Linked DNA regions of Mytilus edulis. The protein of the gene in region 1 purifies or fractionates together with the protein of each later gene. This does not show direct contact. Links are inferred from orthologs where the notes say so. Each region holds a gene or a part of one and is shown on either strand. Other genes may lie near its edges. The genes, in order: cleavage and polyadenylation specificity factor subunit 1-like and pre-mRNA 3'-end-processing factor FIP1-like.

Region 1 (17,198 bases):
GTTTATGACCACAAAAGGAAGGTTGGGACTGATTTTGGGAGTTTTGGTCCCAACAGTTTAGGAATTAGGGGCCAAAAGGGTCCAAAATTAAACTTTGTTTGATTTCATCAAAAAATGAATCATTGGGGTTCTTTGATATGCGGAATCTAACCATGTATTTAGATTCTTAATATTTGGTCATGTTTTCAAATTGGTCTACATTAAGGTCCAAAGGGTCCAAAATTAAACAACACAGTTTGACCTCCAAAACCGAGTCTCAGATTTGTCCTATTGTATGTCATTCTCTCATAAATCTTCAATGAAGTTTGCAACATCAATTCATAAAAGATTATTAAATTCAATTGGGTATACAATTTGTTCTATTGATGTTTTTGGAAATCTGAGACATAGTTTTGGAGGTCAAGCTGTGTTGTACAAGAATCTATAAAATATTTTGGGATGCTATGAAGAACAAAGACGCTAAATTCATTCAAGTGTGGACATCACAATATAGCAACTAATTACATAACAATTGATTATATGTAATAATTATGTCATAATGAAATTGTTACAATTTGAAAGATTAATCTTTCTTCTTTCTTTTAGTTCCTCATTTATAAAATATAAAGAAGGATAAAATGAATTCCATCAGTTTAAAGTTGTCTGATTGGGAGTGAAAAAATCTTTGTATTGTGCTACCTTAAGTTATTATCTGGAAACCATCCGTCTTCGGACGACGCTGATACCAATATACAACCAGAAATCTTTTTGCTGTCATATAATAAAAACAAAAGTACAATACTTCAAAGATCTTAATACATGTCAATGCATGTAATAAGGATAAATTTGGTTTTTATAGTAATGTTTGTTAAGAAAATAACAACAAACATTTTTCAATTACAATATTTGATATCAAAAGTGGGTTAAATCTATGACTGGAAATTTCCTCCTTCTATTAAATCAGACCTTGATAGGCTTGAACCCCACATTTAAGTAAATTTTTGTTTTAACTTTTTATTATAACTTACCTTAAGAAGTTTATACATGTTCCAGACCATATGAGTATTTGGACCGTACCTGTACGGTCCGGACCGTATACGTATACTCGTACGGTCCGACCATACGCGTACGGTCGGACCGTATGAGTATACGCGTATGGTCCAGTATGAGCTGACAATACATGTTATTAGGTCATATGGGTTAAATCTAAACAAATTAACATTAATCACAATCTTTATTTTTAGTTTTACTTTTTAAAATGATTAATATTAATACAATTACACGGATAAAATAAACAAATGAACAATTGAAATTTTAAAATACTTGTTTAATTGTATATATCTTGATCCTAATTACTCTCAACCAATGTTACACTTGCTACCAAGAGTAACGGACTAATATTTTTTACATTTACATTTTTGTAGTTCGTGAATGTTCCTTATCATTTGCATTTTTTGGTAAAGTTGCTAAATATTCTAAAACAATTGATCTCCAAAACTAATTACTTCCGATATTTTCAATTTTAGTGATCATAATTCAATTATTTTAATGAGTGATCGACATGCTAAATACATGAGATTAACAGATTTAATTAGCTTGAATTTTAAAATCATTTAAATATAAAGGTTTTTTTTCAATTACAATTACAGTAAACCTTTTTTTATATCAATTTGAGAGTTAAATAAAATTGATCTGTTATATGTTTCTAATCAACTTTGCCAACTTCTTAATATAAGCCAGACCGTACGCGTACGGTCCGACCGTATGAGTATTTTGAAAAAGTACGCATACGGTCCAGACCGTACGCGTACGGTCCAAATACTCATACGGTCTGGAACATACATAAACATGATAAATATTGATAACTTGTTTTATGTCATTTATCATTGTTATGTCTTCTTGGTATAGAAAGAGAGAGGAAAGATACAGAAGGATTAGAAAGATCATGGAAGTTATCCATTTTCCACATAATATCCATAATTCACAAACACATGACAAGGGCAGAAACTTATAATAATTCTGATCTACACAAAACTTTAATGGTAATATCATGAATATGTCGAAAGTGTTATTCCAATGTAAAAATTCATCTGTAAATCACTCAGTAAGGTTGTATGAAACCAAATAATAAATCTAGTTCTGTCAAGTATTTACAAATTATAGATTTTAGTGGGACCTTCTGATGAAACCAACAATTACTGTCACAACTGAGAATCTAAAGGCTCTAAAGAGCCTGTGTCGCTCACCTTGGTCTATGTGAATATTAAACAAAGGAAGCAGATGGATTCATGACAAAATTGTGTTTTGGTGATGGTGATGTGTCTGTACATCTTACTTTACTGAACATTCTTGCTGCTTACAATTATCTCTATCTATAATGAACTTGGCCCAGTAGTTTCAGTGGAAAATGTTAGTAAAAATGTACAAATTTTATGAAAATTGTTAAAAAATTTACTATAAAGGACAATAACGCCTTATGGGGGTCAATTGACCATTTCAGTCATGTAGACTTATTTGTAAATCTGACTTTACTGAACATTATTGCTGTTTACAGTTTATCTCTATCTATAATAGTATTCAAGATAATAACAAAAAACAGAAAATTTCCTTAAAATTACCAATTCAGGGGGCAGCAACCCAACAACGGGTTGTCCGATTCATCTGAAAATTTAAGGGGAGATAGAAATTGACCTGATGAATAATTTTACTCCGTCAGATTTGCTCTATATGCTTGGGTATTTGAGTTATAGGTCAAAAACTGCATTTTACCCCAATTATCTATTTTTAACCATGTCAGCCATCTTGGTTGGTTGACCGGGTCACCGGACACATTTTATAAACTAGATACCCAAATGATGATTCTGGCCAAGTTTGGTTTAATTTAGCCCAGTAGTTTCAGAGGAGAAGATTTTTGTAAAAGTTAACGATGACAGACAACGACGCCGGACGCAAAGTGATGGGAAAGGCTCACTTGGCCCTTCGGGTCAGGTGAGCTAATGATTCAGATGATGAAATGGACAATGAAGATGACTTTCAATTAGAACAACCATTAGACCAGAACTGGTCTGTCATTGTTATAAATTTGCCTGTGGTTGTGATGAGAATATGAATTAATTTATTTGATAAAATATATGTTATAATTTTATTTTAGGATAAAACTGACAGATGGTGAAGGACTGGTCAGCAAAATTTTGAAGGACAAACACAAAATCTTTTTTTGTCAGTCCCATGGCTGACAGGTCAAATCAAATTTTCACAAACTCTGAATTTGACATTTTAATGCAATAAATTTAACATTTACTAATTTAAGGCAACTGTTTTCCTGTTCTAATGAAGTAATTAACTTATCTTACTTAATTTAGAATGATTTGTTGAATGATGCATGCTCTCTAGTAACAGAAGTGATAAACATGATAAGACCCATTGGTGGCCTCCAGCTGTTTTCTGCTCTATAGTCGGGATGCTGTCTCTTTGACACATTCCTCATTTCTATTCTCAATTTCATGATAAAAAGATGTCTATTTAAGAAAATTATAACATGCAATAAACTGTAAATATGGTATTTATCTTTGAATTTCTTTTATTTTAAATGAAAATTTTATTTCATGGACTTGGTAAATCAAAAAGCAGATTGCTCTGAGGGATACGATTGCCACTGTTTTCATTGACACATGTATACATGTAGCTGGAAAATATTATTTTGAAAACTAATAGGGCTCTTCACGGTAAGTTCAGCCATATTGGGCAGATTTTTTAGAAAGAGGTGGAAATAGTATGAAAGTATGGGAAATCCTACATGTGTTTCCAAACAACTGCTCTGTTTTAATGACGTTTTCCTGTATTTTTCACACTTTTTTTACCTCCATTATGAAAATCTGCCCCCTATCCAATATGGCCAAACTAACCGTGAAGAGCCCTATTTAACTGCACATGTAAAATGTAATTTACGTAATCATGGTAATCTGAATAGTTACAAAATATCCAATCCCGGATACAAGTGTATGAACAATGTACTTATTGTATTTTATTTTTGTACTATCAATTCCAAGTTTATTTACCACAGCAGTCACTGAGACTCAGAGTGACAGAAGGTGTTTCACTTCGTAAATCTTGTCACCTATTTTCCTGTACGTTAATTCTAGGAGGAACCCCATTCCTAACTCTTTAAATATTTAATTTCCTTTGGGTCAGTGGTCATTACTCCTTTGCGATCGTTTTTAATATAATACGAAGTTTATCAACAGAACGAGTTAATTTTTCTCGACGTGTTGTATCGTATTTTGATTGTTGATTCAGAATTGATGAATGTTACTTTGGAAGGGAGACAACTCGAAACTATAATATGGAAGACTCCATTTCGCCTGAAGGGGGGTTGTAGTTACACCTTTACGATGTGGACTACATTTATTTTAATTTAAATGATGCATATAATTTAAAATTATGCAACAACAATAACCCTCAATAGCAGACATACATAGAAAGGATCACATGAGTTTTAAATTAATCAATTGAATGGGGGATCCAGAGCAACCATTCAATCTTATACCCCTTGAAATGAAGAAAACTATACGCATGCACATAATTACCTAAACAAACCCTGGAGCAAGAACATATATTTTAATGTTAATTAAACGACCAAGATGGTTCTCTATTTCTTTAATATGGAAGTACAATATCAAATATCAGTTTCATAACGGTGACATAATAAGATGTACTCCACTTCAGTTCTTATATATGACAGAAATAGATTGATCGGAATTCAGAGAACTCTCACATTTTTATCAAAACTGGAGAATTCCCTCTGATGTGTTTCTAAATTCATAAAAACACAAAATATAAATACTGCTGAATTCTGATTTTCCGTGTAGTTAAAAACACACATATAAGTCAAGGGAAATATCAAACATGAAGATTATGAAAAGAACATTAGGCAGATTCCAAATAAGAAAGTTGAAAAGTTCCCAAAATTATGTTTAACAAAATCAACACCAATGAAGTTCTGTTTTGGAATTCATGTTATACTTATATAAGTAAACACTTTTTGACAAAAAATAGATCTATGCACATTAATATATTTTTTAAATAAAGACCACCTTAAAAAAATGTTGCTATCATAACAAAATTAACAGACATTTTGACAAAAAATTCTTATGTTAGCAACACAAAAATTTTAAAAATCTTGATATTTTCAGTATTTTCTAGGTGTGGATGTATATCTTGATTTAATATGGAAGGCAAATTGGAATAAAACATTTCTGAACATCTGCACCAATAAAAAAGGAATTGCAATAACTTTTAAAAAGGATTATCTTGGAGTTGCTAACATAAAATTTGACAGACATGAACAATGCTGCTAACATAAGATTTGACAGAAATTAAGTTGTTGCTAACATAAAAATTGACAGACTTTATTGTTGCTAACATAATATTTGACGGACTTTTTTGTTGCTAATATAACATTTGACAGACTTTTTGTTGCTAACATAATATTTGCCGGACTTTTTTGTTGCTAACATAAAATTTGACGGACGTTATTGTTGCTAACATAAAATTTGACGGACATTATTGTTGCTAACATAAAATTTGACAGAATAAATAGTGTTGCTAACATAAGATGTTGACGGACTTGTTGCTAACATAGTATTGTGCTAACATAAATAAATTTAACGGACAATATATACTATATATTTGAGATTTTTAACCAACATTGGACATCTTATCCTAGTTGAAAGTCATATTAAGAACTCCTGCAAAATACCGCTGCATGAAATTTAAAAAGATTTTAACCCAGGACAGATAACTCTAATTTGTAGCACATCCAAATGTTGCTAACATAAAATGACAAGTTTGACAGAAATTATGTTAGCAACAGATTTTATAAAACTATTGATTAAATAAAGTAAATTGAAAGATCCAACATGTGTATGTATAATGTACATTATGAAATACAATTTTAACAGGCTTATATAGGTACCTACAATGATGTTGCAAGATTTTATGAACCTGTTGCTAACATTTATAACATTTATTGATAGACGAACATCTAATAAGTAAGGTACAAAAAACAATGTATTTGAAATTGAAAAAATACATATATATATCACAGATGTTTTTAACAAAAGAAAAGCAAAAGATTTGGAAACAGAGATGTTTGAATAATCAGAATACACTAATAAAAACCATTATACCAGTGTCAACTTAAAGCCTCGTAAACATGGTAAAACATGAACCTTGTGTCAAAAAATGGGAAGTAATTTCCGTCAAACATTTCACATTTTTCAACTTGTTGTGATCATTTCTACTTTTAATGGCAACAATCATATCCAATAATTGGTTTGCTTGCTTTATATAGGATAACTATTCAATAAGACATTCACATATTATCATTCAAATAACAGTTAGCATTATTTTTCTTCATTTGTTCTTTTTGACGGAAATTTTTCTTTTTGACGGAAATTTTTCTTTTTGACGGAAATTTTTCTTTTTGGAATCTGCTTAAGGTGACAAACATTTCACATTTTTCAACTTGTTGTGATCATTTCTACTTTTAATGGCAAAAATCATATCCAATAATTGGTTTGCTTGTTTTATATAGCATAACTATTCAATAAAACATTCACATATTATCATTCAAATAACAGTTAGCATTATTTTTCTTAATTTGTTCTTTTTGACGGAAATTTTTCTTTTTGGAATCTGCTTAAGGTGACATTATTTTAACATGTTTAACTTTAATGACTTAATTTTTCAGCAAAAAGTCATTGAAGTGGATCTGTATGTAAATAGTTCTAATATGAGGAAGCGCTACCTTAAATGCCAGCTTTATACATGTACATATTTATGATATACCTATAAGCTGTATTGCTAACTATTAAATAAATACTAAGACAATGTCCTATATATATTGATTGGTTGTTGGTTGTTTAACGTCCAGTGGCAAACATTTCATGCATGTTCAGAACGAATGTCCCAGGCTACATTAACATATTGTTTAAGTCTAAAATAAATTATAATTTCAGATGGAAAATGTTTAGGGAATGATCATTGAACTTGAAAGGGCAGGAGGGGTTATGGTATTGTTCCTTAAAAAATATCCTGATTCCCAAATTGATGAATAAAAAATCTGTTCAAGCAGAGGACAAAAAAAATATTTTGAATCCAGACCTTCACCAAAAATGATTTTATCTTTCAGCATGTTCAGATATGCAAAATAAATTTAACTTTTATCATGTTTATATATCTAAAAACATTTAAAACTTCCCAAACCGCACAGATAAGTCTGTACACAGTAGTTTTTTAGGTGATAATGGCCATATTTGCCAATTTGTTATGATAAACCTTAATACTAGTGTTAAATTTTGACTAAATAATTTTTAATTGATAGCGCTGAAAGGCTTCGGTGAAAAAAGTCTGACTCGAATAAAAAAACATTTGAATTCCTGATCATCTTCAGTTTGTGAGTCTCATGTATTCAGAGTCAGTTTTATGTCATTTCTTGCATATATTTTTTTTGTTACATGTACATGATGTAGCTTACTTTTCAAGTTTTTATATGACAGCAGAATAAAATTGAGAATGGACATGGGAAATACAATCATATCAAAAATTTGCTTTCGAGTAATGCTTAATCATGTCATAGTTGTTTTCGAGAAGACACATTTGGTTTCCACACAATAACTTGAGTATTAGTGAATGGATCTCTATGAAATTTTACTAGAAGGATCAATACACAAAAGGAAGATTAGAATTGATTTTTTGGTTATGGTACAACATTTTGGGGTTGGTTTTTTTCTGTTCTTACAACGAAACAACCAGTTGATGGGAAAGAGCACAAGTATATATCTGTATATATATTTGAAAGTGGTCTAAGAATAAGATATCATGTTCAAAAAAATACCATACCATGCATACTAATGTTTACTTTCATGCATGATTATGAAATAAAATATAATGAAATTTTTTGTTTAAATCTAATTTAAACGATTGTCGTATAATTTACCTGATTAAAACTATACCGTTCAAGTTCAGTTCATTGGATAATTTTCTTGTGGCTCCAGAAAAAATATTAAAATTAACAGCTGCTTATCGCTAAACCGAACTGTCGTATTTTTTTTTTCAGAAGATGTAATTGAACAAATCAATTTATAAAAGAATATTTGTATATTAAAAAACTAGATGATCTGCGGGATATCTTAAGAATTCAAAATTTGTTTCCTCTAAATTCGAAACAATAGTTATAAAAAATGGCGACCTCCATGAAAATATTTTTTCTTCACAAATTGTGTTTAAAATAGGGACACAGACTTCAATATTGAGTAATAAAATGGAAACATAGTGCCCCACAACTTCATTCAAGTAGGTCATTTATATGACACTTGTTCTTTCGAAGAACATCATGTACAAATAATCAAAAAATATGGTTGTTGTGTACCCGGCAAGCTCAGTTTGAAACTGTATCAAGCCGATTGGATATAACTTGTGTATATCCAACCTTTAGAAGGACAACTACCTCTAAATAAGGTGTCTACGAAGGAGTTTTATGATTGTATTGGGAGATTGCTGTTGTGAACCCAGGATTCTAATAAAAGGGGGGACCTACGAATAATACACGTTATCACTTAGTACTGTAAATTCAGAAATTATTGCATGCATTTATTATTACGATTTTTTGAAAAATTGACAAATACGCTTGATTCATTATTGTAATGACAGGAACATTTGCATACAGATATATGTATCAGATAATATGAGGCAGGCATAACCTGTGAATGGGGACGAAGTCTGTATGTATTATTTTTTTAATTCAATCACGTTGAGTAAAAGAAACCGAAATACCGTACGTAACGTTCCCGATTTTGATTCTGTTGTTAGGGAATTATAGCTGTGACGTTCTTTAAGTTATGACGTCATATTCGATGTAAACAAAAGAAACGCTTTCATCAGGTAACGTTTTTTCATATCAAACAATTATTAAAATTGAATTTGTATGGAGATCCAATCTTATATTTTACTAGACTGATAAATATAAATTTTTTCATAGTCTCATGCAAACAAGACAGATATCTGCGCAAAAGCGAAGAAAACAGGAACAGGAAGTAGATCTGAAAAAAAGTTAACGATTTTGAGTTCATTAGTAGAATGAAAAATTCGGGAAATTTTCCCGATTTTTTTTTTTTTTTTTTTTTATTTATTTTTCTACCGTAATAGGGGACTTCGTCCCCATATAAGAATGCCAGTTCTTATTATTGCTATACTCACTCAGTCGCATTATTTGCATTAATAAAAACCTCACAATAATTTCTGAATTTACAGCATTTGGCCGCCATACACCTTATCGCTATTTGTCCGCCATTGCTGGATATCACACAGATTCCCGTAAAATGTTGACGTCATAAAACAAAATATCTGACACCACAATCGAAAAGTGATTGTTGTTGACCTTAAAAGTTCAAGGGGCCGGGTCAGCCGGGATTAGCGATAAGGTGTATTACTGCACATCTCACAGGTTCCAGTAAAACTTTGACGTCATAATTCAAAATATCTGACGCCATGATGAAAAAGTGACTGTTGTATGACGTCAATAGTTTAAGAGGGACAGATTCTTGGGTCAGCCAGGAATAGCCATATGATATGAGGTGGGTTAGGAATTGTCCTGATCCCGAAAAATCCCAGGCTTAAAAACACGAAATCCTGAGGTCCCGAATTTCAAAAAATAGAATTCCCAGATCCCGAAAGGGTCAATCCCGAAATCTCGAGCTTATAAACACCCGATCCCGGAGTCCCGATAAAGGTCCTATCCCCCCTCTGATATGGTGTATTGCAATTGTAACAGGAGGGGTTTTATATGCATACGAAAACTTTATTTTTTATTCAGTTCACACATCGCAATACAAACATAAGCATGATAATATAAGCTCTTGAGAATATAAATAAGATAACAATAACATTAAAACACACAACCAGATAAGACATATAAGTGGGTAGTGGAGATACCTTTATGAAGGATAACAGTAAAAATTCTTACCAAAAATGAAATGACGAGTCGATAACAGCAGTTTTTGTTGCATGACGATAAAATGTACACTTTCATTTAGATGTCTTATCAAGCTAATTTTATTCCAAAAGTAACAGTAATGTTAATTATTTGAGACTTGTGACAAATCACAATAAGGATATTTTGATGAATCACTTTAAAATTTTAACCTATTTGATGTCAAAGGTAGTCACAAATGATTGTTTGATGACTGACAGTAAACATTGAAGGGCATTTCTATTCTCACATAAGCAGCACAATTATTTCAAATGCATACATGTAGAAACAGCACAGTACTAGGCATCTTGAAATACATGCAAAGCTTTTTCTGTTTATTAAAGAAATCATGATAAGATTTTTGCCATAGATATAGAAAGAGCAAAGCTTGTGTTTGTAGATTACAAGACGATGATTGTGTGATCTAAAAAGTTTAGAGAATTTGTTTTTACCTGTAAATAGATATAATTGTAATCAACGATAATGTTTACATGGTCGTAAACATTATAATTGTTAAGCCCTATTAAGTATAATCCAGTATCAAGAATTTGACAAGAAACTATAATGCTACAAAAACCTTTTGATGATTAAAAAAGCAATAATTTATAAGGTATGAAAGCTACATGTTGAAAATAGATAAGGTGTTTTTTTGTCATAGTGAGGTGTCTATTTGTCTTGATACTGCAATGTCTTTCTCTTGTGAAAAAATAACATGATAACAGCTGTTTTAAATCGTGATGTAATTTCATTTTAAATTGTTGCTTCACCATATGTATAAGTTATTAAGATAGATAATTTTGATCACAGTCCGTGAATATATCATGAAAAATCACTCTGCATTTATCTGAGAGTGCTGCCTTCTAACTTTGTATGATGCATAATTTATACATATGACAGTTGTTATCCAAGTTGTTATTTTCAATATTGAGTAGAACATTGGCCTAGAGAGTATTATACATCTTATATGATAAGATAATTTTTTTTAGTTTGAGTGATTTCATTGCTCAATTACAATCTTTCATATGCATAATGGTTCATATGCATTAACTTTCTCCTGTGTTTTGCAGATCAATAGATCATGTATTCTGTATACAAACAGACTCACCCACCGACAGGCATAGAACATTGTGTCTACTGTAATTTCTTCAACACATCAGAGAGGAACTTAGTTATAGCAGCTGTCAATCAACTTCATGTTTATAGACTTAACCCAGATACTGAGGTTTGTACCAGATATTGTCAGGGGGAGTGTTGTAGAACATTCAATGTTAATACATTAGAATAGAACTTAGTTATAGCAGCTGGTAATCAAATACTGTGGATTTATTATTTTTATTCCTTGGATACCAATTTTTGTGGGTTTTTTTTGGTACCGATGAATGTTTAATAAATAACACATTTTTCTACATGCTTTGTTTGCAGAGGTTGGCAAACCAACCAAGATGGCCTCCATGGCTAAAAATAGAACATAGGGGTAAACTGTAGATTTAGGCTTATAACTCTGAAAACAAAGCATTTAGAGCAAATCTGAAATTGTTAATCAGGTTAAGATCCATCTGCCCTAAAATTTTCAGATGAATCTGACAACCGGTTGTTGGGTTGCTGCCCCTGAATTGGTAATTTTAAGAAAATTTTGCCCTTCTTAGCTCACCTGGCCCAAAGGGTCAAGTGAGCTTTTATCATCACTTGGTGTTCATCGTCGTCTGTCGTCGTTACCTTTTACAAAAAGATTCTCCTCTGAACTTGGCCACAATCATCATTTCGGTTTCTAGTTTTAAAAAATGTGTACGGTGACCCAGTCAATAGGGGTAAAATATAGTTTTTGGCTTATAACTCTAAAACCAAAGCATTTAGAGCAAATCTGACAAGGGGTTAAGTTGTTTATCAAGTCAATAACTATCAAACTTTACCTGCCCTGAAATTTTCAGATGAATTGGACAACTGGTTGTTGGGTTGCTGCCCCCCAATTGGTAATTTTTAAAGAAATTTTGCCGTTTTTGGTTATTATCTTGAATACTATTATAGATAAGGATAAACTGTAAACAGCAATAATGGTCAGCAAAGTAAGATCTGAAAATAAGTCAACATGACCCAAATGGTCAGTTGACCACTTAAAGAGTTATTGCCCATTATAGTCAATTTTTTAACAATTTTCACTAATTTGGTAAATTTTTGTAAATTTTTACAAAATATTTTCCGCTGTATTTAAAGGGCCAAGTTTATTATAGATAGAGAAAATTGTAAATACCAAGAATGTTCAGTAAAGTAAGATCTACAAACACATCACCATCAGCAAAACACAATTTTGTCATGAATCCACCTGTGTCCTTTGTTTAATATGCACATAGACCAAGGTTAACGACACAGTTTAGTTATAGACTTAACCCAGATACTGAAATTTGAAACTATGCACACAAGAAAACCAAAGGCTTGAATTCTGATGAATCAAAAATCAATTCAGGAACCAATGACTATTATTGAATTACAGGCTTCTGACTTGGATCAGGCACATAATTATAAGGGAACTTGTAAATGAAATAGGATGTAAAACATTCAATGTTAACAGCTATCATTTGGCAATTTGTCATGTTGTTTTGTTTTTCATTGCCTCAAACTATTCTCTCCAACTGAACGTTTTGATTCACCAAAAAAGTATAACACTGTAGCAGGAGTTACCAACATTACTGTTCATGCCTTTGAAAAAAGAATGTACAAACACAGCAAAACAACAAACAACATATGGTCCTGATAAACTGACTAGGAACAGGTAAAACCATTTTAATCTTCCACGTTATTATTTATACATTTGAAGTTGATATTTTTCAGGATGATACTGGAAAGAATGTTACAGAACAAAATCAGGGTAGGTAATACCTACTAGGTATATCAATTATGGCATATAAATTGAATCATATAAATAATATAAAATAAAGATATACATGTATTGAGAGAGAAAAACATAACCACATTCTGATTCTTATGTTTGATTGATTGTTTTAAAACAATAAATCTATTAGCAGGTCAGTTTAGGTATGGCCTCTAACAGTTTTTGTTTAGTTTGGAAGCTGTTTCTAAATTGGAATTGCCTGTCTGTTTGTTGTTTAAAAAATTTGTGATGAGAAGTGTTTTCTGTAGAAATGTTTTGTTCCAAAACACAGTATAATGGCTAAAATTTGTTGAAACTCTTCAAACAAAGCATACATGTTTTAGGTACCTTAACTATTTTAAGAGTCAGCTTTATATAGATATAAATAAAAATAAAATTTTTAAACATGTTGAAATTTTCTTTAAAAAAAATATTGAAAGAGATTGAAATGGAATTTAATATGGGAATAAGAAGATATGGTATGAGTGCCAATGAGACAACTCTCCATCCAAGTCACAATGTTTAAAAAGTTAACAAGTATAGGTCAAGGTACTGCCTTCATATCACATCAAACAGCATGCTATGAAGGGCCAAAAAAATGACTAGTGTAAAACAATTTAAACTGGAAAAGCAAAGGTTTATTTAGGCTTTTAATGAAGTAATGTTGTAAAAAAAGTAGGTATAGTCCAATTGTCAATAAAGTCTTGCCTATCAAGTTATACATTTCATCTATTTGTAGAGACAAGAAAAAAGCAGAAACTGGAATGCTTGGCCACTTTCAGTTTGTTTGGTAACATTATGTCTCTACAGTTTGTTAAGTTACCAGGAGCAAACAGGGATGCACTTTTACTAAGTTTTTCTGACGCAAAGGTAAATATTATCAGACTATTACATGGCATTTTTCATATCGCATGTATTATCAGCCCTAGGTTTCAATATTGGCACAGGAGCCGCATGGCTGGAGGACTGATATTGACTGAGGGCTGATAATACATGCAATATGAAAAATTACATGTTATGATCTTTTTATCAACAATGGAGAAAAAAAACAAAAAGAAGTTCAAAGACCCCAATCTAGTACATTCAATATGAAACCTTTCTATCAATTCATATGCCTCAACATATAAGAAAAACAGCAGTATGATATATTTTAATATGGACGATAAAAAAAATAATTCAACAATTTACATAATGAGCACGGTTTGGAAAAGTCAACATTTGTTAAAGTAACTTTCTAAATAATGTTTGAAACTTTTAAAAATGCATTTATTTTATCATTTGTTTATTGCTGTTTTTTCCATTTTACACAAAATACTTTCCACTATCCAAATAATTGTTTTGTACCCTACTTTGTAATATTTTTTATATAAAACTTATTATTGATGTGTATTTTTCTGAAATTTGCCGAGTATCACTGGAATGCCATGCAATAACATTATGGAAAGGCATGTGAAAAAAGTTGAAGCATGTATTAAACTTTTCATATCAGCCTGCTAAGCACCAATTCGAAAAAAATATGGAATTTACGTATATTTAACGCTATTATCATACAGTAAAAATCATATGTTATTTAGTCTAAGTATATGATAAAATGATTTATCATCCCCTGAGATATGGCATTCACTCTTGGCCATTTGCCTCATGGAATATCGTTTGGGGATGATAAATCATTGTATGACCCTCATCAAAATTCAATAAATGTATAATGTGAAATTAGTGAACTGTGATGGACTTTAAATGTCATGATTTTGGAATTAGCAAACCATGCATGTATTCAGTTCAGCTTTTTTTTTGAAAATATAATTGTCTTGTGAAGATGCAATTCAATTAAATATAGTTAAATGTGTTATATATGTGAGTTTAATTTGGTCATAATTTATCTTAAGTTATCAATGTTATATTCCTCTGTGAATTCATTGTTGTAATTAGCCAATCCTTTTCTATTTCAGTTATCAGTAGTTGAGTATGACCCTAGTACCCATGATCTCCAAACAACATCATTACATTACTTTGAGGAACCTGCATTGAAGGTAATTATATAAAGAACAACAGTTATCATGGTCATTTGCTTTGGATTTTAAGTTTGTGGACTTTAGGCCTTATCAATTATTTTGTATTTAAATTAAAATGTTTAATAAAATAGAGAATGAAATGGGGAATGTGGTAAATCCATTATATTGTAGTCCCTGCCAAAGACACTAGAACTAAATAGATTCATTTTACTAACATCCATCTCTTTATGTTGTTTTAGCCAAATGCATGGATTAGAATGAAAGTCACCACAAAATGATACTTTGTATTCACTTTTGTGATTTTTATCAGAGACTTTCTAGATGAGTCAGAAAAATAGGATGTAGTTATCAGTTTATTTTGTGTGTAATTTATTTCTTTACCATTATGCATTGTGTCAGACCTTTGCAACAACTCTTGAGTAATTTACAAAATTAAAGGAAATTATTTACTCAAAACACCCTCTAAAGAGTACCAATAAAATAAAATCAGCTAGCTATAAGAGAGTGTCTGAAAATATTTCCACATGAAACATATGTTATTTCATGGGTTACCATATAAAAATAATGGTTAACTACTCAAGTCATAACTTCTGGAAATGAATTGGTCTGTCTCAAGTTTACAATATGAAATTAACTTATTTCTCATGTATGTTTTTGTTAGGAAAGGAAACTCTTTTTGGTTCACAGTGAAGTAACATTATTTATAAGAATATGTAGAAAAAGATGCCATATATGTAATTATTTTGTTTTCTCCCTTCAGGATGGATTTGCAGTCACTTACAGCATTCCAGAAATCAGAGTAGATCCTGATGGCCGATGTGCAGCAATGTTAATTTACGGAACAAGACTTGTTATTCTGCCATTCCGTCGAGACGCTGTCATAGAGGACTCTGATATCTCCGGAGGAGGGAAATCACCTATCATGTCATCATATATCATTGATCTCAAAAGTTTTGATGAGAAGATCACCAATGTTAAAGATTTTCAGTTTCTACATGGTTATTATGAACCAACTGTATTTATGTTATATGAACCTTTCCAGACATGGGCTGGGTATGTACACTAGCTGTATTTATGTTATATGAACCTTTCCAGACATTGGCTGGGTATGTACACTAGCTGTATTTATGTTATATGAACCTTTCCAGACATGGGCTGGGTATGTACACTAGCTGTATTTATGTTATATGGGCCATTTTAAAAAAAATGAAGCAAAAGTGTGACATAGGGGGTCCAATTTCAAACTCAATATTTTTCATTTCTTTTTGTCTTACCCTATTACCGATACTTTAAATTTTATAATTCCAAAGTTTCAAGCAGAACGAAACAGACACATTGAATAATCTTAAATTTTAATAACATACATCTCAAAACATTTGAACAGAAACCATACTACTTATAAACAAGTTTGGTAATAAAACAGTCAAGAAAACATCGCTCAAACCTTTTCCAAATGAAAGTCAATAGAATAAGAAAAATTTTAAAACCAAAATTTCCATCTTTTCTGCTAAATCATATAATAACAATCAAATTGAATAGCTTAATTTAAAAAAAATAATAATAACTAGTGATTGAAGTTTTTGCAAATAAAAAGAATCTTAATATATTTCAGTTAAAATAGTAAACTTTGAAAGCCCTGAGTTTTTGTGATCATTTGGAAAAATAAAAATGTCATTTCATTGTACCGTTTTTATGTAATTGTATGTAGAAAAAGCCATCATGATAAATAACACATTTAAGAGGTACATGATAGGAATATAACTTGGTTTCAACATTTCTAACACAAAGAAACTTGTGGGACTTGTCCTTGTGAAATTATGAATTGACAGAAAACGCTTTAAAAAAAGCGTCACACTCCTGACATATATAATGCACTCCCACATCTATGATATAAACATATCACAGTTGTAATAATTTTTTTTCTTCTCTTTGGAATAGCCACTTCTGAAAAATAAAGAAGAAGAAAATATTTAAGTCCTATGTATTCTTTGGTAGATGTTTAAAGACAGTTGTCACACTCCTGACATTTTTGGGTGCCTCTCTTTGGTGTCCATTAAAACAATAAGATGTGTGATTTAGAGCACCAACATACCCTTAATTATAGTGCTAATATACCAATACAAACTTATTTCCCATACTGGCATTATTGGACTTTAAAACATGGTTATAAGGAAGCTTTAATTTTAAAAGTGTCATTTTTTGAAAGACTTTATTTTTTGTACATACCTTCACAATAAAGGTCAGTGATTACTTATCTTAAAATTTTATTGGACAAAATTACAAAAATATTTAAGACTAATATATAGCAACT
Region 2 (16,009 bases), on another chromosome or scaffold:
CATAAAAACAAGCACCTGAGATCACCCTAGTTTGTTTGGGGTTTTTTTTGGGGGGGGGGGGGGGGGAGAGGGTGTTGCTTATGATTAGTTTTCAAGTTTTTTTTATGTTGGGGTAGGTGGAGACCTGTGTGGTTTTTTTATTACTCGTCACAGTATTATTGTTTTGTTTTCGACCTTTGACCCGTTTGTATCTTTCGCCCTTTTTTTTCAAATCTGTTCTTATTATGAAACAGTATATATCTTTCGTTCTATAATAATATTTATTGAAAAAGAAGAAACTTTAGTCAGTGGAGGCTTTGTTAAATTTTAGATGGCAATATTCCCAGATTTATTAGTTAATGGTTATAGGTTTTCTATCTGTTTTTTTTTTAATGTTGTCGATTATTATTGTGATTTTCACTCGTCATCAACATGTCTGACCCTATTTTTGACAAGTTATTCTGCAGCTCTATGCAAGGACATAGGACGTACATATTATATATAATGTACCTTGTATAAGTTATATATGAAAATTAATGTCAGACATGCAGAATACCAAGTGTTTTCATGAAACCCATCATGTCTTTTAATTGTAAACAAACATTTTTAAAGAAGCAATGTATTACCTTTTAATTCATGGCTGAAACAGTTGCATTGAAATAAATTTGTAATAATAAATCATATTTCCGGCTTTGAAAGCCACTACTACATTTCTAAGTCGGATAAGCATGCACTGTTGTTGTTCTAATTAATAAAACCCGAACATGAACTCATTTGTATGCAGATGTGTGCAGTTGAAATGGATTGAATAAAGGTAGGTTGAAAAACAGGTCATCGGACAATTCCCCCTTTTTTCGAGTACCCTCATATCTCATCCCAAATGTGACCATTTCTGAAACTGAGTGTACAATAATCAGACTGACAAATTTAAGGCTTTGGAAAATAAGTTAATTGATCTTAAACGTTCTTAATATATGTACAACCTTGAGTCTTGGTTGTGTGTAAGTGTTCGGGATTGGCGTAACATAATTTGCAATGTTTCATTCCATAGCGGACGTGATAGAGAACACCAAATTTGCTCATTTACTACAAGACGGAAGAAAAAGTTGATGTGTGTTGTTAGTCTTGTTATACTTCTTGAATACGTGAAGGGATTGCATTTGATTTGTTGGGAGTTCTTTTAATGGCATCTCTGAGCGTGTCTGTTAAATCACCCAAATAGACTGCTTTGGGAAACGATACCGTGCAATTGAATGGCCATTATTTATGGTCCGGTCGCGAAAAACGTGATCTCTTCTTAAAGCTCTTCTGTTTATAATATTATATTAAAAAGAAATATAGCAGCCATTTTAATTTCTTATATTTCTCTTAAGATTTCTCTTAAGTGTAAAATATATACTTAAGAGCGGGTAATAGCACTCTTAAAGTTACGATAGTTTTTAATCTTAAGATTTACTTAAGATTTTTTGTGAAAAACCTAAAAATCTTAAGATTACTCTTAAGAGTAAAATGTATCTTAAGATTTTTTGTGAAAAGGGCTACAGTATCTTAATTATAACAATGATTTCACAGTATAACATTTTCAACTTGAATTTTTAGACACAATGTTTTAACCAAATAAAATACATTGTAATCTGATCAATGATGATTCTATAATATATGTACAACATATTATTTTGGGGCCCTTTTATAGCTTGCTGTTTGGTGTGAGCCAAGGTTCCGCTCTGCGTAAAAGACCTTACTTTACCCTATAGTTGTTTACTTTTGACCAATTGTGACTTGGATGGAGAATTGTCTCGTTGGCACTCATACCATATCTATATATATGTTACAGTGAATTTGTATAATCAGGGATTATGTAGAATCCCTGATTTTTCAGGGAATATGTAGAATCACTAAAATCATTAGTAATTATATATAATCCCTGAAAATGACCAGTGATTTTACATAATCACTGAACATTTTAATAATTATTCTACAAATTCCCTAATATTTTTTTCAGGGATTATAAATAATTTAAGGATCCTTTGTTTGATAAAAAAAGAATAATACATATAGACTAATCATCATTTTTTACTTTCATAGTTTAGTTTAAACATATTTTATTTGCTGAATCAAAGCAAAATGGATTAGACACAAGTAAATTATACTTTCATATTCCTTGTAGATGAAATAATTTTGCTTTTTAACACAGAGGATGATCTTAAAGATACAACCAACTGAAAGTTTAGAGATAAAGTTGAACACTTTCAAATTAAATATTATCAAGATTCACTTTAAAGCGATAACTTTACATGTATTGTTCGTTTATTAAAAGCCATAGTCCAATGGATATTCATGTTCTATTTGTAAATCAACAGAGCATGTTATTTGTGGTACATGGAAAACAATAGGTGAAGACGATTATGGAACATCTGCTTTTTTTTGTTTTGTTTTTGTTCAAATGAACAAGACATTTAAACAGAGAGAACTTACGCATCTAAATGTATAGAAAAACTAAGGATTGACAATTAGAACAAAAGTTTAGAGGAAGCTGGCATTTGGTGTAATATTCTCTTAGCATGATTCCACAGGTTAAAAAGGAAACGGGATACCAAAAAACTTAATGATAATTGTTCACCAAAAGTCTGAAAAGGGATATCGCCTGGCCAAAAAACATGGTTTCTTGCTCGAACCACATCGGTGTTGCTAATTCCCTTTTTGGGGGTACCTACAGATGTTTTTACTGAACACTTTATTTCGGTCATAAAATCTGATTCGATATGTGTATGAAAATGGTTTCTAAAATGTGGATATTGTGGTAATAACAGATGAGAGGCATTCATTTTAACATATTGTGTTTAACATTTTAAAGGGAAACTTCGCAAAAAAATCAAAAATTGATATTATGTCCATTCTGTATAAAAAGGCTAAAATTTATAGATATTAAAGTTTTATTCCGCTAGATAAGAGATCAACATCGATTTTAAATTTTGAGTATCAATTTTCTACGCTCCGCCATTTTGTCATCTTCTACGATTATAATCACGATATGTCTATAAAACACAAAGAACCAAAACTACAGTAACCGATGTAGTCGTAATTGCGTGTCGATATCTTGTCAATCGTACGATTGTTTTATCTGACTAACTATAAACTTGATACGGAAAATACTGAGGGAAAATTACCATTATTATATATCTGTTATTTTTAAACAGTTAATATTGGAATGAGTTAAAAAGTCAAAGTTCAAATAATAAATATATATGTAGCCCATGAAAGACGACTTACTCATTCATGGGAAAAGTTTGTATATCACCAATCGTGACCTGAACATCATCATCAGAATCCTCATCGCTATCTTCAGATTCACGCTCTGCAGCATTTTCTTTTTCTTGTGATTGTGATTCCTCCTCTCCACTCTGTGAAATTAAATTTTAAGATATTTTTTAAAGTTTGAAAAAAAATAAAGTTCACTGTCAAACAACTGAACTTGCTCAACTTGTCCAAGATTTGAAAACATTTTTTTAAAATAACAATGTTGCAGAACCTTTTTTATTATAAGCATGAAGTTTATAAAATTCAACCATTTAAGGTAGATTCATGGTGTACCGCCATCTTGGATTGTACTATCGCAGTACACAATCAGTCTAGTTATATGCCCAAATCTATAAAGAAGTAGGTTCAGTAAGACCCCTTTTTGGCCCCAAAATATAGCAGTTTTACAAAATTGTTAAAATGTAAACCTTTAGTTATTTATTGGACAGTAGAATGCTTCTGCTACATAAATATGGGCTGTTTTTGACATTACAATGCACATATATCCGGTACTAGCACCATTAAGTCATGCTAAATTACTGAAATCCTCATAATTCTAGCATTTTTGTTAAATTTTAGACGGTTTTCGTGTAAAACGAAAGTAGCCGCATTCGTGTTCATCCTTAATATTGAAATGTAAGTTGTATTTTATGATAATACATAACATATATAAAGGTTGAGGATGAACACGGATGCGGCCACTTTCATTTTTACCAAAAACCATCTGAAAAGTGACATTTTTCGGCATATTAGGTAGATTTTTCATATTTGAGCTTGAATCGGATCGTTTTTAATGACTAAATCTGTTAAAATCTTTCACATAAACTAATTAATTCAAATAAAATAGACACTTAAGTGTTTAAAAAGTGGTCAAAATCTTTCGTCAGATGAACCTGAAATTTGAGGCCAAAATCGGTCCTTACCGGACCTACTCCTTTGTAGACAGATGTGCAATTTTATTGGTAAGACTGTTTATTTATATGAAGAAAACTTGCTGATTTATTGCATTATCCAAAATATTTGAACAAATACCAAACATTTGTGTTTTAGAACCATTTTTTTTCTTTAACTGAGTCATTTAGGGGAGATAACTCTTTTAGTAAAAAAAATAAACTGGTCTGATAGGGAAATTTTTAATTTTTACTTGTAGCAAGAAAACAAGTTTGGTGACACCATTTTTTCTTTTTATCTTCTGAAAACATATTATAAAACCTACCTTCTCACAATTTATTTCAAAATTCTATCTCATAGATTTCTTTTTATGCACAAAAATGTGTTTTTGCATGATCATTTTAAGCAAATTTAGCCAATTTTCAACAACTCACAGCTTGAAAAATAGCATGGTGACCCATCCTTTGTATTATATTTTTGGAAAGAGCATAAAAAAATCTTCATTTTAGCAAAGTTTAAAAAAAATCTATCTCAGGAAACTTATACCTATGATCTACCTTAAATAAAGCCCACTAAAATTTATACCTTGTACCTTGTGTCCGGCGTTTTGCATTTGCGCCAATCTGCATTTCATTTGCGCCGATTTTTTCTTTCATTTGAGCCGATTTTTGTTTTCATTTGCGCCGATTTTTTTACAGATAATTACAGGTTAATTACAGGTAAATAGATATAAGAAGATGTGGTATGAGTGCAAATGAGACAACTCTCCATCCAAGTCATGTTTTTTGTTATATTTATCATTACAGACCTCTTCTGTCATCCAGTTGTACACGATATTTACATACTTTAAAATCAAGAAGTAAAACCCTTAGATAAAAACACTCTGGTTTATACTAAAATGACTTTTTAAAATCTATTTACAGCATTCAAATCCATAAAACGGAAGACATTAAAATCATAAATCTGTTCTTGCTGAGTATTTATAGGCAACATATCTAATATGTTCCTTTCATGTGATTTCGTCTCTTCTATATTTGTTGTAATTGTCAATAACGTAATCCATCTTTTCTTTGTCTTGCTAACGTACTTATGTGTGTGGCCGCCGATGGTTAAAAAAATTGACTCCTCGGCTTGTTGCAGTGTGCAATATGTCCATCAATTACAGCAAAGTTCAGAACAATATGAATCAAAATTAACTAAAACCTATGTTTATAAACAGATTTTACCAATATACCTGCACGGTATAGTACATGTACAAGTATTAACTTACCTGTAAATCCAATTAGGAGCAAATAAAAAATCGGCGCAAATGAAAAAATGAAATCGGCGCAAATGAAAGAATGAAAATTTTAAAAATCGGCGCAAAAGTCATACGCCCCTTGTGTCAAGAATATGTAAAATTAAATAATGATTTTCAAAAAGACCTCAATTAGAAAGTATGCATTATGTAGTTTTGTACATGCATCAAATTATCATCTTCAATTTTTAATTCACTTGCTGTTGCCAACTAGTTTATTCTTAACTGTGTATTGATATGGTTTCATATACATGGAATTTCTTTTTTGTACACATGCACAAATCATTTTGGAAGCAAAAGTCTTCCATCCTTAATATATTTGATACCTTACCAATTCTCCAGCTTCTCTGTCATCCTTTCTGTCAGATCTACTGTGTTTAGGTGGGTCAGCAGCCCTGTTATATTAAATATAACACTTTTTTTTTTTTAAATACTTTACTAGCATGTGACTAGTGCATTTCAAAAATGGAGTGCCAGAGAACAGTAGGATGATATATATACATTTTGTACAATGTAGAATGTTTGCAAAGGTAGAAATGAAAAAATAATATTAATAGAGAACTGCAGAGATTTCAAGATATTTCAGATATATGTGTAATTATTTTATATGCATCGCGCTGTAAATTATTCATGTTATTCAACTAAAAGGTCCGAGACCACAATTATTTCGTAGTGCATTTCTTTTAGAACATAAATGAAAATTTAAAAAAAAACCACCTGCGCTTTCTCAAGCTCAAAATATGGACAATTTTATGTTTAGAACGTCTTGAAATCTTTCAACAGCTTCCGAAGTGCTAATTTTTAACCTTTTTCAGCTGGACCAAATCACTACTTTCCTTAAAAATTTGAGACCCAAATTTTTTTACAGTGTAATTTCACCCCCCTTCTTGCAATTTGAGGCATTACACATGGAGAAATAAATTTGGAAGGGGTATAAAAATTAATGGCAAGTAACCCACTGTCAGCACTAGGGACTATATTTGTGAACAACGAAAATCAAGGGACGACAATTGTGGTCTCAGACCAAAACTGACTCAATATACTGAGGAAGATAAGAAACTTTCATTTCCTTAGATATTAATTGAAGGGGCTTAATACATGTAAGCTACGTTTTTGTCAAAAAAATAAAATATGAAAGAAGAATTGTGAAATAATATTTTGCTTAATAGCAGTAAGTTTAATTCAATTTTGTCAAAATAAGTTCAATTGACAAGAAAACAGTATGTATAATATGACAAATTACTTAATAAAATGTACATGCAATATCATAAATATTTAGCACTTCCCTTTCAATCAATCTAAGAATTTGTAGGTTATTCTTCTATGAGTTGTTTTATTGGTATCTTACCAATGTTCAATCTTATTATATTTCACTGTACAAACATGTTCTTTAAAGAGATACATCAGTATTTTATAATGTTTATTTCATATACAGATATATAGGCCATATAGCTTACCCACTAGCTTTTTCTTGCGACTCTTTATTATCATCTAAAACAAAACAAAATTTTTTTAATTACGAATGTATGAATGGAGGTGTTGATTTTTCGCTCCTAAGATAAGTCATCTTATTTTTTTTTGTATTATATGCGAATGATAAATGTATAACATTTATGAAAGGGTTTAAGCATTGTAGGCCCGTCATCATCAGGGATTTACCTACATGTATATCAATTTATTTTAATTTTGTCGTTGTCAATAGATCTACAATACTTATATGCATTTTATAAGCTATTATTGGTTTGCTTGAAAATATTTCGTTGCAAACTGCATCCTGTTTTAGTAGGTCCCAATGTTTACTAATGCATTGTTTTAATTTATGAATGCACTTTTTTTTGGATTGATGTAAACCAATAGACCACTTTCGAGTTCATCCGTCACCGGCAAAAACTCGTCAATTATACACGCCTTTATGACGTCATTTACCAGATAGAGGGGCTCGCCTGTATCCCTGCACTATTTACGTTCATCAAGCGTCTTAGTGATCGTCTTTGTGCAGGATAAACTAGAAATAATGGTTGCTCTGTAGGTACTTACTGACATTTCCTTAATGACAGCAGTGTTGATTGTCAATTTTGAGAATTCATATTTGCCAAATAATTCGTACAATATAGAATTATAGTTTTCCAACCACTCGCTCAACATTGGAAGGAAGTGACGACGCCCCTAAACGCACAAATGACGATGATAAAGGCGCGTATAATTGACGAGTTTTTTCCGGTGACGGATGAACTCGAAAGTGGTCTATTGCAAGTCTAGTAATACTAGCATCATGTGATCAATATTTTGTAATATAATTACAATAAAATACTTATAGTATGTATACGGAGTCTTCGGAACTAGATTGTTTGCTATCGGAAATCGGATTGATGTTGGAATACGTGGATGTTAGGTGTCACTTTAATACAGTCTTCCGAATAAGATTGTTTGCTATTGGAATTCGGATTGATGTTGGAATACGTGGATGTTAGGTGTCACTTTTATACAAAGCATGTGTAATGTCCAGTACTGGCGGACAAATAGTGATAAGGTACATTTGAAAATAAAACATTCAACCACAGGGGCTTGTTTAGTGGGTCAGACAAGGTTTTACTGTCAATGGCGATCGCTATCCTATATAAAATAGCTGTCACTTTAATACAGAGTCTTCCGAATAAGATTGTTTGCTATCGGAATTCGGATTGATGTTGGAATACGTGGATGTTAGGTGTCACTTTTATACAAAGCATGTGTAATGTCCAGTACTGGCGGACAAAAACAAGGTATTTTATATAGGATAGCGATCGCCGTTGACAGTAAAACCTCGTCTGACCCACTAAACAAGCCCCTATGATTCAACCATGTTTTTAGAAACCACTACTGGCACTGGTCCACATAATCATGACGTCTGATCGATGAGGGAATTTACGATATGAATTTTACAGATCATTTAATGAAGTTGTCAAGGTAAATACTAAAAATAATAGAATGCTATATTAAATGGAGTACCAAGTTTTGTCTATAAAAATCCGAGTGACAAACGTAGACTTCTATTTCTAGCAACAGCAATTGTTCATTAAAAAACAACCTGAAGCAAAGCTAACATATTCATCAAGTAATGCCTTTATTTATAATCGAATACTTTACCCCCATAAAGCCATTCTTCGTCGTCTTGTGTGCCGGTTTGTGGTGCAGCTACACCGGCAGCCGCCATCGTGTTTACAATTTTACTTCTTTCAGTTTCGAATTATTTATATCGAACTGTTAAAACGGGTCAAATTATTTTCAGATATAATATTTATATCCAATGCATAATCCATGTATCATCTTATGATAGAATAGTGTAAAAACTACGAAACTCGATGTATGTAATTTATCTGAATACCGAAAATAAAATAAAGGTCCATAAAATTACAGGTATGAATATTTCTCTCAGATAAATATTTGATGTCCCCTGTCTCAGAATATCCCCTGATAGTGGGTTTATAACGAACATTTTGATGGCTTGCGGATAAAATGATCAAAATTAACTTTTCTTTCATAAAAAAGGCAAAATGTTAGATATCAGTCTCAGATAACAAAGATCAGCTTTCAACACAGGCTCAGAAGTTTTTCTATATATACCTCTACATTGTATATAGGATTTTTTTTGGAGACAAGTGCCTGTGGCTTTCAAGCAAGTCCTGGCAAATTATATAAACTGTAAAATTGATTGAAATCTCTTGGAGTCCGAACTAGTCCAATTAATAATTTTTGACGTCTAAAAACGGTCTATTTTTATTATTTAGACTAAAGTCTGTATTATTGCAAATACTGTTTGAAAATATGTTGCGCATTTCTAGTTCCTGCAAGTTGTGCTGTACATCATGACTTCATGTACATGAATGCATCTCCTTCATATGATTTTCCTATTAAAAGCAAGCTGTGAAGCCATATACGCTCGGTATTGGGGTATTGTTTATGGTCCTATTGATATTTAAGGGTCACTATTTCAATCGTATTCAATTTTTAGAATGGTTTAAGAGTTTATCAATTCAATCAACTGTTTGATCTCTATGTCAAAGGTTGACCACTATTGAGTTGATCAATTAATAAATTTGTTTTAGTTTTTTTCAAGGATCGTGATTGTATCAATCATATTCAATTGTTAAGATTGGGAAATATGAGACAACATCCCGACCAAAGAGCAGATAACAGCTCAGGGCCACCAATGGGTCTTCAACCACACCCGATGATGGGCCTTAGCTGGCCCCTAAATAAAATTGTGTACTAGTTCAGTGAAAATGGACATCAATGCTACACTCCAAAACATATAAATGAACTAAAATTAAAAAACATACAAGACTAACAAAGGCCAAAGGCTCCTGTCTAGGGACAGGTGCAAAAATATGTTGGGGTTAAACATGCTTTGTGAGATCTCAATTCTCAACCCTCCCCCTATACCATGTATACCTCTAGCCAATGTAAAATATTAAGGAAACACACAGCAATACGCACAGTAAAACTCAGCTTAAAAGACTTCTGGAGTCCAATGTCAGAATAGGTAACAAAAGAAACTAAGCAAAATGACAATTAATGATACATAAATTAACAAAAGACTACTAGCAGTTAGTGACATGCCAGCTCCAGACCTCATTGAAACTGATTGAAAGATTATGTCTTCATCATATGGAAATCAAGCACAATCCTTCTAAATAGGGGTTTAGTATCACAACAAAATAAAATATATGAGAAGAACATAACCTGTATCATGCCAACAATTGGTTTTAGAATAAATGTGTTTATTTCCGATGCAACAGCCCTATGAGTCAATCAATATTAATTCCAAAATATGCAATCCTTAATGACCTGACAACAGTATTTTTACTGAGTTTATTGAGTTGATATATATGTTCATCAATCATGTCAATGCAGACTGTCAGGGTTTGCACTTTTATCATAATGATCAATGGCTTGCAATTTTCCAACTTGATAAGTCTGCCCATATAGATTGTACCCTACTATTTCAATCTCCTCCTTTAAAATAAACATTTAAAATATGAAAATTGTATGAAGTTTTACACAAAATTCTATACGTTGTAAAAAAATAATTTAATCTGCCTTTTTTATTCAACTCTTTCATTAAAAATTTCAAAATATTGCAAAGATAGACTTTAGACCAAAGTTTAATCTTTTCCTACCTTCTGGTTAGGTCATCTGATCTTGTTTTTCTATTCGTTATGTTTTATTGTATAAATGTAATATATAAATCCATATTTTCATTTTTTAAACAGTGTATATATATACAAAATATTGAAATACTTTGTTCTTCTTTTATACAGGATTGAATGCCATATCCATGATGACACTGTAGTCTGTAGACAGGGAAAAACAGCAACATGAAACTTGTTAAATCACCAATAGCTGTGATGACTTTCTGCAGATTCAGACTTCTTTCATTATCACCAATAACCCATTACAATCATATGACAAACTTAGCCAGATTTTCAAAGATTCATTGCTCAACACAAACATCAAGAACATACACATGTGTTACAATTGGCAATTTAAGTAGCAATCTCTTTGAAAGTTGCCATGTGAAGAAATGTGGTAGAATTGAAGATAAACAATATTTTCATCAATGTGGTCCAAATCTAAATAAAAAGTTCCCTAAAAAGGTAAAAATTCATGATAACAAAAAGGGACAATCATCTGATGAATCTAATAATGTGAAACGTGTAAAGTTGGTGAAATTGATTGACACTATTCAGTTGTTTTCTAATGAAGATCTGTTAATTGGAAAGCAAACATTAGCAGGGGCTAAGGAATATGCCAACAGTAAAGGGTTCAAATTAGCTAAATTAGAGGGAAAATTTACAGAAGGATTCCCATCTTATAAACTTGTGACAAAAGAAGAACAAAAGGAAGAACAGAAGAAGACACCGAAGGAAAAGAGCCCAAAACGCTTTGACATTGAAACAAAAATTGCCGGCCATGATCTCCAGATTAAAATCAATCAAATGGTTAAAATACTTGTAAAAGGAAGAAAAGTCAATACTGTTCTATCAGCTGCTAAAAATGAGGTGAGTTGGCTTTATTGTTTTAACGTTTTGATATATAAAACTTATTGAAAATTTCAAATAGGGATATGTATTAAGACACAACCTTGAGAATGTTAGCCCAATGTACATGTGGTGTATTTAATTTACACCATGATATTATGGTTAATGTAAAGTGATAAAATTTCAAGATTTAGAGGTTCTTTCAGCAATTTGACCTTATTTTATGGTATGATAAATGCAAGACATCCATGCAAATAAATTTAATACTGCATCATGATATTACTACATATATTATATATATATATATATTGTCTAAATGTAAAATTATCTCCCCTTTCAAGAAATTTGTTAATTTTTTAACCATTGACTGAAGTGGTTAACATGAGCACATGAATTACTGAACAACATGCTTGTGTGAATAAAACATGTTAAATGAGACTAAAAGTCCAATGTCTTTATCATGCTGTAAATGTGGATAAAAAGAGATGCAAGGTATATTGTAATGATAGTGTATTTATTGAGATAACAACCAAAATAATTAAGCAAAGGATGTCTAGCCATCTGCTTTCAGTCTTCATCAATAGAAAGGACTGGTGTTAAATTGCCTTGAGCATCTTAATGTACATCCCCTTTAAAAAAAATACTTATCTTAATTTGTTTGTTGTATATCATGTATTTGACACTATGAGTCTTTTCTATACATGGCAAAGAAGTCTTGATTGATTTCCACCTCATGTATCATGTGTATTTTAGTAAATTTTGGTTGAACAGGCACTTGTCTTATTATGAACTTCAGGTTATGTGATACTTATTTGAAAAGGTTATAGACATGTACCAAAAAATGAAGCATTGAAAATTCATTAAGTATACCTGCTCTAATTGAAATCTCCTTCTGCCAAAGAGTTTTCCTTATACTGTAATGGCTGGAAATATGACTGAAAAAATGACTAAACATTGAAGTATTAAAATAATTATTCATGTTATTTACACAAACTGACTTAAATTTAATATTGTCTAATGTCATGAATATATAAGGAATGAATTTTCTGTCCATCTTTCCCTTTAAACAAACAAACAATTTGGGCACTTTATGCTCCCCTAGTTCATTAAGTTGTTCTTTCAAAAAAATAACTGTCATGACTGTTGTGTTTACTGTCTTATTTTGATTTTTTAACTGCATCCTAGTAAGGTTAAGAATGAATTTTCTTTCTGTTTTGGTTGCTTCTTTTTTGATTAAATTATGACCCATGGTCAAATGTTTGTAAATACATGCAATTAAGATTCAACATCCCTGAACTTTTTTAATAGTGCCTGCAGACATTGGTTTGAATTTAGATTTGTTTTGTATTTTTTTAAATGTGACTGTGTTTTGTGATCAGTTCTAATGAAACTGATTATAATTGAAACTATTTTACTGGTACATGTTGTTTTTTTATAATTTTGACAAAAGTGTTATTTCTTGAGAATTGATAATTAGAACTAAAGTCATGTAGAGCTATTTTCACAAGTTTTATTTCTTCTTGCAGCAAAACAAGGGACTACTTGGATCAGTTCACAAAGAGATAACAGAAGGACTTGACTCAGTAGGTTACATTAAGGATTCCAAATTCAATATTGATAAAGGCTACATAAACTCAGTATATGTACCTCGAGAAAATAAAGTGAAAACAGCTGATGGAACTTCAGAAGATGATGGGGACAAAAAAGAATAAATTTTTTGATTACTAGAATGCAACTCAGGATGTTTTTTTGTTTTTTATTGAATCAATTAAAGTGATTTTAGAACTTGATCTGGGGTATTCCTGGTGGTGACACATATAGTGTCAGTATGAAAATGAAATTACTGGTGTGCCTTGAAGAATATGTTGGCTTTGAAATAAATATTATTACACAGACCTGTATTTCATGTTTCTCTGAATTGTAGTTTTCAATCATCATTTCATAATACACATTTTTCACACAAAAAGAATAAGCAAACATAACACTTGATTGATTTAAACTGTTCCATATTAAAATTATTTCAAAGACAATAGAGACAGGGAATGTATCAAAGAGACAACAACCATACAATAGAGCAGAAAATTTGTAAGGGTTCCCTGGAACCCAGTGTCAAGCCTACTTTTGCTATTAATTGCAGACTCAACAAAAATGAGGAAAAAAATCATTAAAAATATTTCTCTTGATACTATCTTTTGATTGAAAGAAGCTTCTGTCCTAGTTTGTTAAGACCAGGATAGTTTATGAATCTAATAAATGTTTTAAAAACTTTAACAGCAGACTGTATGTATTATTAACTTGAAGAAAAATTAAGTCCATGTATAAGTGAAATACAGATAAACAGGTATAAAATTTTAACAAAATTTCCTTCTAGATACTAGCTTTTGATCATAAAAAAACTTCTGTTCAAGTTTGGTACAAATCCAGGATAGTATAAGTTATTTAAATTATAAAAACTTTAACCTCAGAGGGAATGTGTTGTAACCTCAAAGGGAATGTGTTGTAACCTCAGAGGGAATGTGTTGTTTCCTGGCAGAAAACTAAGCCCAGTTATAAGTAAAATACAGAAAAAATGGAATTTTGCTTTTACAAAATTTACTTCTTGATACTTTCTTATGATCAAAAACATGTTTCTATCCAAGTTTTGTACAAATCCAGGATAGTTTAAGAAAGTTATTAAAATTTCAAAAACTTTTAACCACAGAGTGAATATTTGTGGACGCCGCCAACGTCAATGACGACGACGCACTGCAGGATCACTATGTCTTGCTTTTTCGACTAAAGTTGAAGGCTTGACATAAATGGTCCAAGGCCGGCTTTAGGTCTTCAGTGCAATGAGAAAATCTTAACTCGTAGGCTGGCTTTAGCTGGTTCCTTATAATAATATGTTTTACTTCTATGTCATTTGGTCTCTGGTAGTGAGTTGTCTAATTGGCAATCATACCACTTTTTCTTATTGTTATAGTTTAGCTTTATGGCTACTAAACTCCTAAACATACAAAATGAACCAAGTTAATAAAACACAAAGGACTAACAAAGGCTACAGGTGGGAGGTTTAAACTTGTTTTAGATCTCAAAACTCCCCTATACCTATAGCCAATGTGGATTAAACAAAGAAGTATGGCCAATTTCCCCTCAATTCTTTTCATTCGATAAGATAGGTAAATCATGTTTTAAATAGCCCGATAGATGCTCATTATAGTACATTAAAATACGTCACATCATCTATTTTCATACCTTGAACAGGTATTCCTACAAAAAAACATGTAAATTATGCAAATCATTCAAATAAATGAAGGTCAAGGACAAGACAACTGCCATAGAATGTAAAATGCCAACACTAATACATCTGCATACCAAATGTCATTGACCTACCACTAATAGTCCCCCATAAACTGATCTAATCACAGACTTTAGCATGAAAACTAAGAGAAAGTTTCAGTCAATAGACCATAACTGAGAGGGCAGGGCCAAGATTATATGATTTGCCTACCACTGGTGGTTTCCCTTAATCATTCCTTATCACATGTAAAGCAAGCAAAAGTTTCAACAAATATAGACCATAACCAAAGGGGCTGGGCCAAATAATCTCCATGGAAATGAGATGTTACAATGCTAATACAATGCAAACTAAATATATTTGACTTTATAATTGTTGTTCTTCATAAAGTGACCTAATCACAAATAACACATCATTGATGCCGACGTCATAAACAGCTTCCCTAAATCTTACTTTCGGCTATTCAAGGTGAAATCTAATCAATTTTCATCATCTAGAATGTGTCCACTTTGTTGTACAACCCAGCCAATAAGCAATTAGCATAAGAAAGGATTATCTTATATAAGATTTCAATCAATGACAAGCAAGGGTAGCCGCCATTAAACTCTATTTAGAAGTAGAAAAAATAGATCTTCCATCACTCTGCTGAGTACACAAATAACCTCTATGTCCATACAAACAAAATATTCAGGGTCTTCAAAAAACCTCAAAATCGGGGCCTCAGAGTTACTGGAAACTTAAGTCAAGAGGGGGTGTGAATCAGATGTGAATAATCTACCAAACATCTCCTGGTAAATACAACCAGTCACTCCCCTTATGTCATAGAAGTATGAATCTCTCAACCAATTATAAATTGACTGAAAGAAATAACCCTCAGGTTTTCCTCTAACTGGGAGGACAATTTGGAAAAAATATCTTAATTTTTCCAGGGACAACTCATTTTCTGTAAAAATCAGATTCTATGAAGCAGTCCTCTGAACTGACTTTGAGCATTTTGAAGCTAAATATATGTATTTGTAACTTTTGGTTGGTTGATTGGTTTTCCAACAGATAGTTCAAAACAGTAGTGACCCCAGTAGTTTCTATGGGGAAACAACTGTGCTTTCTTTGTTGACTTGTTCCTTAATTTTTATGAGGCAGATCTGACAGGGAAGACCTTAAAGCTAGTGTTGTACATTTTTCACATTATGCTATAAAAGATGGTGTCCTCTCAGCCACTTAATTTGGGCAACAATGTTGATCTCAAGA

Evidence for each region.
Region 2: the proteins of cleavage and polyadenylation specificity factor subunit 1-like (region 1) and pre-mRNA 3'-end-processing factor FIP1-like fractionate together in Homo sapiens (co-fractionation; 8 studies listed by BioGRID and IntAct, with this or other methods). This does not show direct contact. The link is inferred for Mytilus edulis from reciprocal best matches to the Homo sapiens genes CPSF1 and FIP1L1.

The regions. Positions count from the first base shown.
Region 1 is NC_092348.1:923,871-941,068, reverse strand, and holds the start of cleavage and polyadenylation specificity factor subunit 1-like, read left to right. Parts: upstream 1-8,203; 5' UTR 8,204-8,334; intron 8,335-11,076; 5' UTR 11,077-11,087; coding exon 11,088-11,231; intron 11,232-12,387; exon of another isoform or gene 12,388-12,405; intron 12,406-12,834; exon of another isoform or gene 12,835-12,835; coding exon 12,836-12,872; intron 12,873-13,614; coding exon 13,615-13,745; intron 13,746-14,824; coding exon 14,825-14,905; intron 14,906-15,647; coding exon 15,648-15,940; intron 15,941-17,198. UniProt on the Homo sapiens protein: Component of the cleavage and polyadenylation specificity factor (CPSF) complex that plays a key role in pre-mRNA 3'-end formation, recognizing the AAUAAA signal sequence and interacting with poly(A) polymerase and other factors to bring about cleavage and poly(A) addition.
Region 2 is NC_092351.1:28,661,327-28,677,335, forward strand, and holds the start of pre-mRNA 3'-end-processing factor FIP1-like, read right to left. Parts: upstream 8,716-16,009; 5' UTR 8,658-8,715; coding exon 8,591-8,657; intron 6,956-8,590; coding exon 6,922-6,955; intron 5,860-6,921; coding exon 5,796-5,859; intron 3,381-5,795; coding exon 3,250-3,380; intron 1-3,249. Other genes in the region: uncharacterized protein, read left to right, coding at 10,822-11,505, 13,011-13,196.